3 linked regions of the Arabidopsis thaliana genome follow. The protein of the gene in region 3 interacts with the protein of the main gene of each other region in a pairwise test. Each region holds a gene or a part of one and is shown on either strand. Other genes may lie near its edges.

The links. Proteins that work in one complex are often made in the same cells at the same time.
Region 1: the proteins of AT4G12950 (region 3) and AMT1;1 interact in a protein complementation assay, tested with the Arabidopsis thaliana proteins (one large-scale study listed by BioGRID).
Region 2: the proteins of AT4G12950 (region 3) and MLO4 interact in a protein complementation assay, tested with the Arabidopsis thaliana proteins (one large-scale study listed by BioGRID).

What each region holds. Positions count from the first base shown.
Region 1 is NC_003075.7:7,855,867-7,860,598, reverse strand, and holds AMT1;1 (ammonium transporter 1;1), read right to left. Parts: upstream 2,417-4,732; 5' UTR 2,380-2,416; coding exon 874-2,379; 3' UTR 681-873; downstream 1-680. Other genes in the region: AT4G13500 (uncharacterized protein), read left to right, coding at 2,725-2,887, 2,952-3,021, 3,468-3,612. UniProt on the Arabidopsis thaliana protein: High affinity ammonium transporter probably involved in ammonium uptake from the soil, long-distance transport to the shoots and re-uptake of apoplastic ammonium that derives from photorespiration in shoots.
Region 2 is NC_003070.9:3,671,076-3,678,191, reverse strand, and holds MLO4 (Seven transmembrane MLO family protein), read left to right. Parts: upstream 1-2,058; 5' UTR 2,059-2,138; exon of another isoform or gene 2,139-2,233; 5' UTR 2,234-2,282; coding exon 2,283-2,408; intron 2,409-2,776; coding exon 2,777-2,834; intron 2,835-2,923; coding exon 2,924-3,144; intron 3,145-3,235; coding exon 3,236-3,352; intron 3,353-3,665; coding exon 3,666-3,726; intron 3,727-4,171; coding exon 4,172-4,263; intron 4,264-4,400; coding exon 4,401-4,475; intron 4,476-4,620; coding exon 4,621-4,706; intron 4,707-4,822; coding exon 4,823-4,872; intron 4,873-4,963; coding exon 4,964-5,004; intron 5,005-5,096; coding exon 5,097-5,270; intron 5,271-5,362; coding exon 5,363-5,398; intron 5,399-5,487; coding exon 5,488-5,555; coding exon of another isoform or gene 5,556-5,625; exon of another isoform or gene 5,626-5,631; coding exon 5,632-5,692; intron 5,693-5,801; coding exon 5,802-6,257; 3' UTR 6,258-6,436; downstream 6,437-7,116. Other genes in the region: AT1G11020 (RING/FYVE/PHD zinc finger superfamily protein), read right to left, coding at 1-221, 336-459, 763-1,224; AT1G10990 (uncharacterized protein), read left to right, coding at 7,101-7,116.
Region 3 is NC_003075.7:7,574,609-7,578,095, forward strand, and holds AT4G12950 (Fasciclin-like arabinogalactan family protein), read left to right. Parts: upstream 1-2,033; coding exon 2,034-2,564; downstream 2,565-3,487. Other genes in the region: AT4G12940 (uncharacterized protein), read left to right, coding at 1-19.

The DNA.
Region 1 (4,732 bases), 280 kb from region 3:
CAAGTAATTCGCGATCTACTTTGTGAATCCATTTGTTAATATAATAACTGTGATACTCCGAATCTTTAGTTGCGGCAACAAGGTACGTACGAATCTCCAAAATCGTTGAGTTTAAATAACACTAATATAATAAACACATTATTTCATGTGGTGGACAAATGAAATTAGAGATTCGTGAATAGGTTGGTTGAAAGTTTGTAAAAACACACTTTTTCAAAATAAAATAAAACAGAGTTTGTAAAAACACACTTTATCAAATTAAAACAAAAAAGAGTTTGTAAAAGCACCTACTTCTGCTGAAACTTCAAACTTGCAAGCATCTAAAAGTCTAATTAGTGATGTAAGACATAGAAATTATTTCCATAAATTATTATTTATTTGCATCAGACATGAAAGATTGTCATTTCTGATTATTATGCTTGAGTAAATGGTTCAACTTCGTTTTACCAAATTGTTAATGCTTCTAGAAAGCAATACTTCGAGTTATTTATATCTATTGCGTCAATGCAAGGTTTGTTTTAGACTTTTTAGCTATTTAAAGCAATAAGTATGAACTAATATCAAAAAAGTATGAGCTATATCAAAAGTCCAAACTTAAAAACGGTCAGGCTTTTACTTAGTCCATGCTTCACATTCCTAATTGCTTATCTAGAATGCAGCAAATAATGATCATAAAATTTGAAAAAAGCGTTATAGAAAAAACTCCAAAGAGAACACAAATGACCACATAGATATTATCATCACAACCCCATGAAACTGTACATCTAAAACATTACTGAAATGCAAAAAAATATCCAAAACAATATTTAAGTATCACAAAACATCATTTAAAATAATACTCTAGAAAATAGAGAATAAAAGTAAAAATCCAAATCAAACCGGAGTAGGTGTAGTATTAGCACCAGAAGGAGAAGGAGATCGTGGCTCAACTCTCCTAAGCTGAATGGCTTTGTGAGACTCATCATCATCAAAGTACATATAAGCAAAACCACCGTGCCTGGTCATATCCATACCGGCCATCTCATCCTCGGACGATATCCGCAACAATTTCATTTTCTTGAGGATGAAGAAAAGTGTCCCCATGGTCGCACTTACCCAACCCGTGATCACAATGATCTGAATCAGCTGAGCTCCAAGTAGTTTTCCTCCACCGCCCATAAACAAACCGTGTGGCCTTCCGGGTTTGTTGCCGTAAATCTGGTTCAAGTACTTTTCTTGAGCGAAGAGAGCCGTGAATATTAGTCCCCACGCACCGCAACCACCGTGTAGTTGTGCTGCCTCAAGAGGGTCGTCGTATTTGAGCTTCTCAGCGAGCTTGTTGCATCCGAGGAGGACTAGGGCCGCCACGAACCCGCAGATGATCGCAGCCCATGGCTCAACGACAGAGCAGCCACCAGTTATGGCTGCAAACCCTCCGAGGAGGCCGTTGCATACATCAGTGACGTTCCAATGTCCCGAGAGTAGACGTTTCCCAAATAGGGTTGTCAGCGCCGCGGTGCAGCCAGCTAACGTTGTTGTGACAGCTGTCCGTCCGACCGCGCTCCACTGGCCGTTGTATGTGCCTGTCTCGTACGTGACTAGGATCTTGTTGAAGGAACCGGGGTTAAATCCGTACCATCCAAACCAGAGGAGGAATGTTCCAAGGACAACAAGTGACGCCGAGTGGCCACGAAGAGCGATGGCACGGCCTCCGTTATCGAACCGGCCAAGTCGTGGACCTTCGATGAGCGCACCCCAGAGTCCAGCGATACCTCCGACCATATGAACAACACCGGACCCAGCGAAATCTATCGCTCCGGTGCTGAAAAGCAAATCTCCATCGGTACGGAACGGGCTGGCCCATCCATCAACTGACCAGAACCAGTGAGAGACGACCGGGTAAACAAACCCGGTTAAGAAAGAGGAATAGATTAGGTAAGCCACGAACTGTGTCCGTTCAGCGATCGAGCCACTTGTGATTCCAGCCGCAGCGATTGCAAAGGCCCATTGGTAGAGAAAGTTGGAGTAGTCAGCAGAGGCCGTGGGGATGTCTTTGAGACCAAAGTAGTGTTTACCGATGAAACCATTGGACGGAGATCCAAAGGCAAAGGCGTAGCCAAACAGATAATAGAAGAGACCACCGGCTGCAGCGTCAAGGACGTTGGTAAGCATGATGTTCATAGTATTCTTGGCTCTCACGGAACCGGCACAGAGCATAGCGAAGCCAAGCTGCATAGAGAAGACAAGGTAGGCGGAGAAGAGAAGGTAAGTGTTGTCTATAGCGAAAGCGGTGTCGATAAATTTGTTGTTGACGTCGCCTAACTGGCCACAGATGTAGTTGGCCGCCGCCGTGGCATTAGGACCCAACAGGACAGCGAGATCGGTGGCCGAGCAAGACATGTTGAGAGTTTAGAGAAGAAGATGAAACAGAGAGGCTGAGAAAGAAAGTGTTTTGTTTCTCTGTTTATATAAAAGAAGGAAGCTAAAGGCCTAGGGTTGACTTTTCAATCCTGACGAAAAATATTCGTAACGCATAATACAAAGTCTTTAAGTTTTGTTTATTAGTACATACATGTGAATAAAAAATAAATAAGGAATGTAAATGTATCAGGCTTCAGCTAATATATCGGTGAAGATAAGATCTGTGTGTTCAGAAAAAAATATTCTATCACATCCAAATGTATAAGTGAATAACAGAAAAATAAAATGTAAAAATATTCTATCACATCCATATAGTTGTTGGAAATGGCAGCGAAATTTCGAATTTCTTCTTCTTCGTTTAGCCACAGGGCTAGTGATTCCTCAACTTCATCATCTTCTTCATATTCATCATTGCTTGCTTTACCTCAATTCTTTTGTCCACCATCACCATTAGGATTCCCAGAATTCAAGCTTCATGCCAAATTAGGTACTCTTATATCTTTTATTTGTTTGTAGATGTAAATTTTGTTAATCTTTGGTTATTGCATAAGGTGGAGGAGATGGAGAAGTGAAGCCTAAAGATAAGAAAAAGTTTATAACCAAAGAGGAAGAACCTGAACAGTAAGTTAATCTTAATTCTCAATTTTCATCATGAGATTGTAGAAAATAACAGAAACTCATAGAATGGTAATGTAATTTTGCAAAATCACAGAAAAACAAACCTAGGAAATTGATGAAAACATGGAAAATTACAAAACGATATGTAGGTTACCAATTTAATACAAAAATTTTAGTCTCCATTGCAGAATTTAAGTAGTTTTTTTTTTTGTATGTGTCAATGACATGTAGACTGGTGGTTTGTGACATTGTGTTAGTATTGTATCAATATCCAGACTCAAATCCGTGTTAGCAAAAGAATAAAAATATTTGGGTTGTAGTTTAGTCAAAAGAACTAAACTCTTTTAAAATAGAAAAAGAACTTAAATTCTTGCATGTTCATTTTTCATAAACATGCAATTGTGATTGAAGAAATGGTTATGGATGAGGATTGCATTGGAATTTTGTAGGTATTGGCAAAGCGTTGGAGAAAGAGAAGGAGAGAATCCGATGAAGACGCCTCTTCCTTACATTATCATATTCGGTATGTCAACTCCATTCGTCATCTTAGCCATTGCTTTTGCCAATGGTTGGATCAAAGTTCCCATTCGTTGAGCCTTTCTTTTTGTTTTTTCTTCACTTGTTTAAGGCTGAATCTTAAACATGTTTCTTATACTCTTCTTCTTCGGCTGTAAAAAAGAACAAATTAATAGAATGCTATCACTATATTATATGGTGCTTTGCTATACTACATGTCTTCATTACAAGCAAATGTATAAACAAATATTAGTCATCTCTTCATCATTAGTGATATGTTTGGTCTTGTCAAGAAGAATGAGAATTAGAGACAACACAAAGTAGTGACATAGAGCCTAGTTGGCACATTAAGCAGAGACTTGAAATCATCTAGAAGACTTTTCAAATTACAGCCTGACGAAAAATATTCGTAACGCAAATTGCAAAGTCTTTAAGTTTTTGTTTGTAAGTACATGTGAATAGAAAATAAATAAGAATAATAATAATAAAAAGGAATGTAAAAAATGTATCAGCTAATATATCGGTGAAGATAAGATATGTGTGTTCTTAAAAAAGTATTCTATCACATCCAAATATATAAGTGAATAACAGAAAAATATATATAGTATTGAGACTGAAATTCCTTGTTTTTATTGTTTTCTTGGTTAGGCGAAATTTCTTACTATCTCTTTTGAACATTAAAAAGTGTCAATTTGACAAGATATTCTTTTGTTTTCAAAAGTAAGTCTTAGATTTGAGTATTAATATATTATAAATTACGTACTTACAAAACTATGTTTGCATTTAGCATATTTCGAATTCATTTATAAGATATTAATTGATAATTTCTGTGATATCTCAACCAGGTTGTTGTTGGTATATCTTAATTGACTAATTGAGAGTGAGCATAATATCCACATACCACATGCTATAAAGTTAATGTTTCTTTTCCGTTAAATTATCTTTTCTATTTATATAATATAAAATTTTCACAAAGTAGTTTTCCTAAAACATGTTTGGAAATTCATCAAGTTAAAAAGTAACTATATGATAGAACCAAGCATAAAAAATTGATCAAGAGATATTTAGATTCCAAGATTGGGGAATAGAGGCAACAATGTACAGTTTACTTTTGGTCTTGATGAAGGCGTCAACGAGCATATAGTACTCTTGATTTCCAAGCTAGATGCAGTTGATCTACCGCGATTTGTGATGGGGC
Region 2 (7,116 bases), on a different chromosome or scaffold from region 3:
TGCAGCAAGAAACCCATACGCTAAACCAAGAATGGCAAAGATGACGACAAAAACAACAACAAGAGCGAAACAAGCTTCCATTGAAGCAGGGAAACAATCCAAGACACCCCATCCATAACAGCAGTTCTGGCATCCAGCCATCCTCGGGTCATTACCGTTGAGAGCAGAGCAATGTAGAATGATTCCAAGAAATCCAGTCAGCACAAAGAAGGATATAACCCCTAAGAATTCATGACACACCAAATGTTCAAACGCGTGTAAGGCTTCTAGATCCGTGGTATTTGAAAGGTATACTAGTTACGCAATAAAAGGGAGATGAAAGATTCAGTAAATACCAATGCAGTAATAAAACGGGATGGGATGTTTCGACAAAATACGATCCCAATCATCGTTGAAAGAGTTGCGAAACTCTCCGTCTTTGTCCATCATATATGCGAATCCGGCCATCACAGCGATAACCTAGAGTTTCAACAATCTTCTTATTATCAGACGTCAAAAAGATTCAGACAATCTCTATGAAAAACAAGCTTCAAAAATGGCAAGTCACAGTGAGCAAAATGAACAATTTGATAGTCATCAACTTCCATTGTCAATTTCAAGCACCCACCATGTGTACGCAGTAACCAGGTCAAGATTCGAATCTAGTTCACTTTGTGAGCCAGATTATGACATCATATAAAATTTATCCTCAGAATCTCTTAATAAATGCTTTATAATCCTCACGAAAACTATGAAGAGAAGCTGAGAGAGAGAGATACTCACAGTCTGCACAGCTAAGAAAACCAAAAGCACATCTCTTGCGACAAAGAGTCTGAATTTAGCTTTTCTACGCCACGAATTGTTATCCTCAAAGGGTTCGACTCTCAGATGAAACTGTGCTTTGCAAGTAGTACAGTGAGAGAAAGCAAAACCTTCTTTAACCGATCGCCAATGATCGAGACATGAGCGATGCACGAATTGTTGAGTGCCTTTACACATACAAGGTGAAATCAATTCATCGCCTAACAATTCACTATCGTCCTCCAAACAAATACGACAACAAGGAGCTGAAGAAGCATCGTTCTCTAAATCTTCTTCAGCCTTTATCTCATCGCTATTTCCTGCCACCACAGACGCAGCAGAAGGAGACGCCGAAGAAGAATTGGTGTGATCTCCTAACAAAGGAGCGGAATCACTTAGTTTCTGTGAATCCGGTGGCTGCAATTGTACTTCACCTTGCATCATTGATCCAAACCTTCGCTAACCCTAAATTTCAGACAAGAAATCTGTGGGTGGAAATCAATCGGTGTGATTAGAGGACTAATGATTCGAATCGAGTCAAATACATTAGCGTCTCTGTGTTCGTTGATCGGCTAGAGAATAATCGTGCGGGGATGTGAGAAGATTATTTACAGAAGTGGGAGAGAGGCAAAACATAAAACTGGAGAAGAAGGGTCAATGCGAGAGAGAAACGAAAGCTTCTTTATTTTGGGAATTGAAAATTACAGAGAAAAAGGGAAATGGGGTGAGAGAGGCTCGAACTCTCGACCTCAGGATCACTCAATAGCTATGAGACCTACGCGCTAGCCAACTGCGCCACCACCCCAATGTTGGGAATTTGTACACGTGTTAATTTATTATATCATATTCATTTATTCTCCTGGCAAAACAGTGACCGGTCCACCACAAATTGCCAAATCCTAGTATCATTAGTCAAAGCTTTGATGTACTCGTAAACTTCTAATATTAACCGCCATTTATCAGTAAAATCGGTTGAGTTGTTGCTGCTAGATTATGATTAGTAGATTGCTGCTATAAATTCGGTTTACAAAAATTGTATGAAATGGCGTAATTTTGGTTTTTGTATCTGATTATTGTTCATTTAATTCGGACAGTGATTGAATCTCTCTCCTAATTTCAATGATACGTAAACCGATTGAGATATCATCAACCCGGCTTTGTTATTATCGACTAATGGTTGTACCGGTCGGTAAAGTCCGGCTATTAAATTGCATTATTAAATTTAGGTTCTTTAACGACATTTAGGGGGAAGCACATGAATGCTGCAATAAATGAAAGAAGCAATTGAATAAAGAAAGAGAAGAGAGAAGACCGTTGGAGAAGACGAGGAAGCAACCATGTGCTTTGGTTTCTACTTGGTACAGCATTCCATGAGCTTTTTTCTTCTCTTTGACTAGTATATTTTATTGTAGAAAATTAAATGGAGGAAAAAGCTAAACTTTCTTAATCACAGATGCAGATTGATTCTCCATTTTTCTCGGGAGAAAAGTTCCTCGCCGGAGATGGAGCATATGATGAAAGAAGGAAGGTCTCTTGCAGAGACGCCGACTTACTCTGTTGCTTCGGTTGTTACTGTTTTGGTCTTTGTTTGCTTTCTCGTTGAACGCGCCATTTACAGATTTGGAAAGGTGTGTTTTTGTTTTGTATTTTTTCTTCGTGTGTGTGCCTACTATATGTTTGTTGAAATGCTCAGCTCAAAAGAATGAGTGTGAAGAACGTATTATGATTTTTTTTTTTTTTCTGCACACTTGCCACTTGGGTTAACTCTTGCTCTCCATGATTCATGAGCTGGAAATGTTTTATCTAATAATGGGTGCTAGAAAGTGAGAATTTTTATGGACGAGATGTTTCTTCTTGGAGATATGTGTTTATGCTTGCTAAATGTCAGTAGAAGTAGTGTTGATGTTTTCACTCTAAGAGAAGTCATTATTACAGGATGTGTCTTTCATGTTAGATATATATGAGGAGCTAATTTCATGTTCTGTTTTGTTTTCAGTGGTTAAAGAAGACTAGAAGAAAGGCACTTTTTACTTCACTTGAGAAAATGAAAGAGGGTATGTCAAATAAACCTGTGCTGATGTTGTGGTGCTTTATACTTTCTTTCTTTTTCGTTTGATTTTGACTTGTTAAACTTTCTTGGTAGAGTTGATGTTGCTGGGACTTATATCACTTCTGTTGTCACAAAGCGCGAGATGGATTTCAGAAATCTGTGTTAACTCTTCCCTTTTCAATAGTAAATTCTACATTTGCTCTGAAGAGGACTATGGAATCCATAAGAAAGTTCTTCTGGAACACACCTCTTCTACAAACCAGAGCTCCTTACCTCATCATGGAATACATGAAGCCTCTCATCAATGTGGTCATGTAAATATTTACTTTTTCTATCGACTTAAGAGCCTATTTTCCTTTTGACTTTTAATTATATTACTGAACTGGATGTTGGATCCAATGCCAGGGCCGTGAACCATTTGTGTCGTATGAGGGACTCGAGCAACTCCTAAGATTCTTATTCGTCCTGGGTATCACTCATGTTCTATACAGTGGCATTGCCATTGGTTTAGCCATGAGCAAGGTACACATCCTAGCTCCTAAATCTACATATGAGTGTTAAATTTGTATTCTTAAGTATTTCTATGTTGCTCCGAAAGGAAGAGATGTATTATACTTGCAATCAACTTTATCCTCATGTCTAGAGGATGTAGAGAACCTCATGATCAAATAATTAGTGGTCCTAAGTATATGTCAAATAGAAATTATCTTCAATCTGAAAATTGAGGGAAAACCTTCGATATTATCATTTATGTGCATAGAGTGTTAGTAAGATTAAGCAGACGAACATATCAATACCATCTGAAACAGTGTTGTCTTTTTATCACGTAACACAGATTTACAGTTGGAGAAAATGGGAAGCCCAAGCGATCATAATGGCTGAATCAGATATCCACGGTAAATGACAAGACTTTTCTGTCTCTCCTTCAAATTAAGGCTTGTATGTTTTTGATGGGTCTCATCTTGAGGGCACATGAGGAACTGTGTTATCTTAGGATTAAGAACAGCATGAAACTAGGATTCTGTTAAGTATTTAGGTTGTTCATTCATGAACTCACTTAAGCTGTGGAGAGGCTTTTATGCAGATTTGCAAATTTCGCTTCATCTTGACTAGCAGATCAAATCCAGTATAATCACTTATAAATACTGATATAGGAAAAATTCCTTTCTGTCCTAGTATAATCACTTATACAGGATTGAAATGAACTGTGTGGAAAAGAGATGTATCTCTGTAATTTTAGCTTTATCACAAACAGCTGATTCATTGTTAAAGATACTTAATGCCTAGGATGCTTTAGTTTCCAGTCATATATACCCTAGTCTTCTTGACTTTGTTCAACAGCAAAGAAGACCAAGGTGATGAAGCGTCAGTCTACATTTGTTTTCCATCATGCCTCTCATCCTTGGAGTAACAATCGTTTTCTCATTTGGATGGTAACTCCCCATGCTTTTACCTTAAGCTGTAATTTTTTAAAAATTTCATATCTCTAGTTAAGAACACTGTTATATTTTTCTCCAGAAGCTATTTTTACGGCATTTGTCCAGCAATAAAATATATGTTTGCATTGCAGCTTTGTTTCCTGCGGCAATTTAGAGGCTCCATACGAAAGTCTGACTACTTCGCACTTCGGTTAGGTTTCCTCACTGTGAGTAACTTTTTTATTTCGTTTCTCAGTCTTTCCTTCAAATTTAAAATATAACTTTCTAGTAATTTCTCAAGAATTCTCATCTAATCTGGTAGCTGACATGATTAGTTTTCTGAATCCGGTCTTCATTACTTTAAAATTTCAGAAACATAATTTGCCATTTACATACAACTTCCATATGTATATGGTACGGACGATGGAAGATGAGTTTCATGGCATTGTTGGAATTAGGTATGCGTTTCTGAGAATTGAGATCTTATCAAAGACTCTTTATTCAACTGTTTTCAGAAGATTTCGTAAGGGAGTTACAGAATGGGACTGATGAATGTTTCTTGATGAATCAACAGCTGGCCACTTTGGGTTTACGCTATAGTATGCATCTGCATAAATGTTCATGGTAACTTATCGGTTCAATAAATACAAACTACATTCCATTTCTATCTCCACATTAAAGCTTTGTCTTTACTAATTCAGTGATTTCCTTGCAGGCCTGAATATGTACTTTTGGATATCATTCGTTCCTGCCATTGTAAGTAAAAGCAAGATTAAGTAAAAAGCTTGAAATTCATAAGGCAGTACTAACACTCAGAGCATGTGTTTGTATCTGTTTTGTTGTCTAAGCTTGTCATGTTGGTTGGAACCAAACTTGAGCATGTTGTCTCCAAGCTTGCTCTCGAGGTTAAGGAGCAGCAGACAGGCACATCTAATGGGGCTCAAGTCAAACCACGTGATGGGCTCTTCTGGTTTGGGAAACCAGAAATTCTGCTACGGTTGATACAATTTATCATTTTTCAGGTAAGCAAAAAGACTTTTCCTTTCTCAATTCTTCAAGCCATGATATTACTCTATTCACACAGATGATCCTTATATATTTCCTGCTAATGCAGAATGCATTTGAAATGGCAACATTCATCTGGTTCTTGGTAAGGCCACCTTATAAAATGCATCAATACTTAAATCAGCTATGCAAAGTTTTTCAGTTTTTGAGAAGATCATCAATTTCATGTATCAGTGGGGAATCAAGGAAAGATCTTGCTTCATGAAGAACCATGTGATGATATCAAGCCGGCTAATTTCTGGGTGCGTTTCAAATACACAACAATTCGCAGCAACACACTGTCTCTTAAGATTTTTTTTTTCTTTCTGGTGAATGCAGGGTTCTCGTTCAGTTCTGGTGTAGTTATGGCACTGTGCCTCTCAATGTAATCGTTACTCAGGTTCGTCAAAACCTTTCATATATCTACAATTCCACAATCTTAAGCCTATCCAAGTCTGTGACTAAACATCGTTCATAAAAACTCTATGGTTTCACCTGAATCTGAACAGATGGGATCTCGGCATAAGAAAGCTGTGATAGCAGAGAGCGTAAGAGACTCACTTCACAGTTGGTGCAAGAGAGTGAAAGAGAGGTCTAAGCACACGAGATCAGTGTGTTCCCTTGACACAGCAACAATAGACGAGAGAGACGAGATGACAGTGGGGACATTGTCTAGGAGCTCATCGATGACTTCACTGAATCAGATTACCATAAACTCCATAGACCAAGCAGAGTCTATATTCGGAGCAGCAGCTTCATCCAGCAGTCCTCAAGATGGATACACGTCGAGGGTGGAAGAATATCTGTCTGAAACATACAATAACATCGGTTCGATACCGCCTTTAAACGATGAGATTGAGATTGAGATTGAAGGTGAAGAAGATAATGGAGGGAGAGGAAGTGGGAGTGATGAGAATAACGGTGATGCTGGAGAAACACTTCTTGAGTTGTTTAGGAGGACTTGATCTTGTTTCTGCTTTTAGAAGCTTGGTTCAGTTGTAATTACTTGACATCCATACAAGAATAACAATTAACAAAGTAAATCTTTTGTTGGTCCAGTAAAAAAAAGTATTCAATGATCAAAGTACATCTTTTGTTGGTTCAGAGGTAAATTTAAAATATAATAGCATGGATTGGAACGAGATATTATGGCATTAGGAAACTTTTTGATTATGGCAGTATAAACAAAGACCACAAATTATGGCAGCTATACATATATTGATTTCAAAACAGAGATAAAGACTTGTCACCTGTCATTTGATTATTTATGAATTTACCTCTGCAGCATTTTCCTTCTTCTGTGCAGTCACGCCTACCGATGGATTTGATTAATTTCCTGTCGATTATTACTAAGTTGTATTTCTAGTAAATACAACTTAAAAGTAGTTTTGTACTCGGTCTTAAAACTAGTTTTGTACATAGTTTTTGAGTAAGATACTTTGTTTTTTTTGGGACAAAGAGTAAGTTAGTAATATCAAATTTTATCATAGTGATTGTTAATTTATGTCAACTACGAAATTAAGAAGTTATCAAATCTGATTTGAGTTATGATAACAATGTCATTGATAGACTCGGTCAATTATGGCATTAAGAAAATCTAAGGATTTAAGTAACCAGGTATCAATTATTACCGCCGTTGGTATTGACTTTTAAATAAGACTTGCCAGTTGTCACACACATGTCATAAACAATTGTTTTTTTCTTCTTCTTTTCATTCAAATGATAAAATTAAACTTGCACTATACAGTTTCTATAGAATCATCCATCACTAGATCTGGTCTGGCGATCCCCAAAAGATCAAGTCAAAAATGAATAACAGAGAAA
Region 3 (3,487 bases):
CCTTCCTTTACTTAAGTAAATTGTTTCTTTTTTTAATCTAGTTTTCTAATTAGTTTGTGGTCTAGGGGTTTCGGCTGATTTTTATTATTAATAAAATACATATTTAAGTTTTTTTTATACTGAGAAGCTATTCTGAAAAAAATCATATTTCTTTTTTGTTTTGATGAAATGTGAAATTTATTGATGAAAGAATAATGAGATTATGTACAGCTGTAAGATGTATAGTTCATATGTTCTGCACAGGAGCAGAAAACCTATTGAAAAAAACAGAGTATAAGCTTTTAACTAGAAAGTCGTGTTAGCCGTAACAGAATAATTCAAGAAAGAAATACTGAGATAACCGAAACCAAAATACTAAACCGAACAAATAAAAAAACGAACTGAATCCCAACCAAAATTATAAAATATCTTAACCAATTTTTTCAAACCCAACCCGAATGGTGAACCAGATAACTTTTTAGGTTACTGTGTCATTGGGTTCAACCGGATTCGACCATAGATCAATTGATTAAAATTTATTTAATATTTTTAATACTTTTAGAAATTATATAGTATTATAAATATAAAAATAAAAAATAATCATACCATGTTTAACAAAATATGAAGTTTCACAATAAAAATAAAGTGATTAAAATTTTTAAATCCAACAAAAACCATAAAAAAAATACTTAGATAGTATGAGATTATCAACAAAAAAACTAATAAAACATTGCGAAAACAATATAACTAATCACCGTTGTTTCTCTCACCATTCCTAATATTTAATTCCAAAATATCAAAATCAAATGGATTTTGTTAAAACTCAAACCCGACTGATTCAGTGGATAGCATGTTAATGGTGAATTTTTTGTGTTTTTTTTTCTAGTTTTTAAACTGTTGGATGTTAACCCAAACTGGAAGTGTGTACAGGTCACAGGGTCAAACTAGACGGTTCGGGTCTAGCGTGAAAAAAATGGATTATAGAATCTTTAAACGAAACGAACGAAAAGGTAACCGAATGTGTACCCGAAATATCCAAAAACAAAAGGAGTATCCGAAACAATTCAAGAAGGTGTTTAAGACCTTAGTTCTGTTTAATTATGTCCTAATTATGTTATTTGGTTTGGAGAGCATTCTAGTACACGCTATCCTCTGTTTACGTACTTAGCTTTTACATGTTAATCTATACACCAATCAAGGCAGTCTCAGGATAAACAATCATTATCCTAAATAATTACGTATAGACTTTGCTTTGTTTTTTAGTTCGGTTAATATTTGTTTTTAAAATCGTTATAGTTAATTATGTAATATGTTTTAGGTGTTTTAAAGCAAAACAATTTCTTTTAAAACCCATAATTGGCTTTCATTATATTTTTCAGTCACAGTCTACTTTATTAAAGTAAAGTTTCTTCTAGTTAAGTTTATCTCTAATTAAAAGGTTAAGGGTAAAGGTTCTTTTAAACCAATGCTAAATCGTTTGGTGATTCTTAATATTATTATTTCTATTTAATAAATATTTTGTGCAGTTGAGTGAAACAAATTTTGTCATAAGGCATCGGTACCTGCTTTTTTCAAGAAAATGGGATGCTTTGACTAGTATGATATATAATTGTGTTTTATATATCAATCATGTTATATTTACTCTTGGTTAAGATTATTTTTTATTGTTAATGATATCATTGATACAATGATACTTAAGAAAAACTAAAAATGTTCCAAATGTATTCTATAACCAATTATCATTTGAGCTACATTGTTCTCTATCTAATCAAATCAAAATCATAATATTAAGCTATTATGGTATATAGGAAATATTTGAACTCAATCCTTTTTTTTTGTGCGGTTCAAGCTTCTAAAGAGGTCTCAAAATTTGTGTGCAGTCTTTCTTCACACTTTCACTCACCTTTTGTTCCTACACATAATTCTCTTTGCTTTTAATTATATAATACTAACTTGATACAACTAGCCATATCACAATTTCCTAACTCCCAAGAACAAAAGAAAACTCCTTTCTTCCATTCTTGGACTTTTCTCTCACTTTTGGTCTCTTGGATATGAATCTCCTACTATTTTTTCTTCTCTCCACCGTTTCAGTTTTCGCCGTTGTCTCTGGCACGGTGGAGGAGACGGCCCGTGATGTTATTGATGCATTGGCTCATGCCCCTTTTGAAGAATGGTCATCGGTTTTCATAGAAACCAATGACCGGATCCGCGCCGAGGTTATCCCATCTACCCTCTTCATCCCAAACTCTTCCGCCAACGGGAGCGATGATAGACATAAGTTGGCTTCATACCACATTGTTCCTCAGAGGCTTGAGTTTGCAGATCTTCTCTTGAAGCCAAGTAGATCGAGACTACCGACTCTTCTCAACGGCTCCTCCATTCTGGTAACCAACAATTCTGCTACTTCTTTTTCTATCGACGGCGTTCTCATCATCGAACTTGACATCTACGTGGATTCCTTCATAGCCATCCATCGTATTGCATATCCGCTTGATTACACAACTTACGGCGGCGGCTCTAAGCTTATATCGAAATGGCCGCTCTTCACCTTTATGCTTGTTACGGTTGTGTGGTTCATTTAATCATAGTGATATGAATAGATTGTGCTCATTTCACCTTATGATATATATATGAAAAGACTGAAGTCCCTAATCTATAATATGAAAGTCTTTTAAATGAACACTTAAACCTTTTTTTCTTGTACTCATGACTTGGTCATTTTTAGTAACGTACAACTTTTTATTTTTGTTTTTTAAACACGTAGACTGCATACATTGAGAGGTTTAACGATGAACATATATGCTCTCTTGTTTTTTACTCATTAAAATGCCGACTTCTCTATACACACAACACACGGAGATAGATACTTCTCATCATTTGAGTCATTATCAATATAAATAACTGAGACATCTTTCCAAAATTTACCACGACAATGAGAGGTTATCAACATATATATATATATATATATATATGAAAAGTAATATTCAAAAAAAGTAATAGATGAATCATGAATGGTCAACTAGATTTTGAGTCATTATTAATAGACGAAGAGATCTCTACAAAAAAAAACATTTACCATTCTATAATCACTAAACAAAATACCAGCTGAAATACAACAAATCTTATCGAAGACCACTACTAATCAATCTTACATATTCTATATTGTTAAATACTTTAACTATCTATTTCATTTTGCATCAATAAACAAAATTTTATGCTACACACTCACTTATGTTTAGGGCTGGGCATATGGGTCACCCATTCGGGATCGGGTTTAGTGGATATTGAATTTACTACCTAATAAGGTAATTCTAAGTATTCGGTTTCGGTTCGGGTCGAGTCTAATAGGGTTCATGTCGGTTTGGGTAAAGAGTTCGGAGATTTGCAAAACTACCATTTTTTACTACCCTTTTACAACAATATCCTTTTTTGTTGTCCATTTTTAAAAATACTCCTTCCTTGAACAGAATAACCAAATTACCCTCATCTAATAGAAACATGTAAT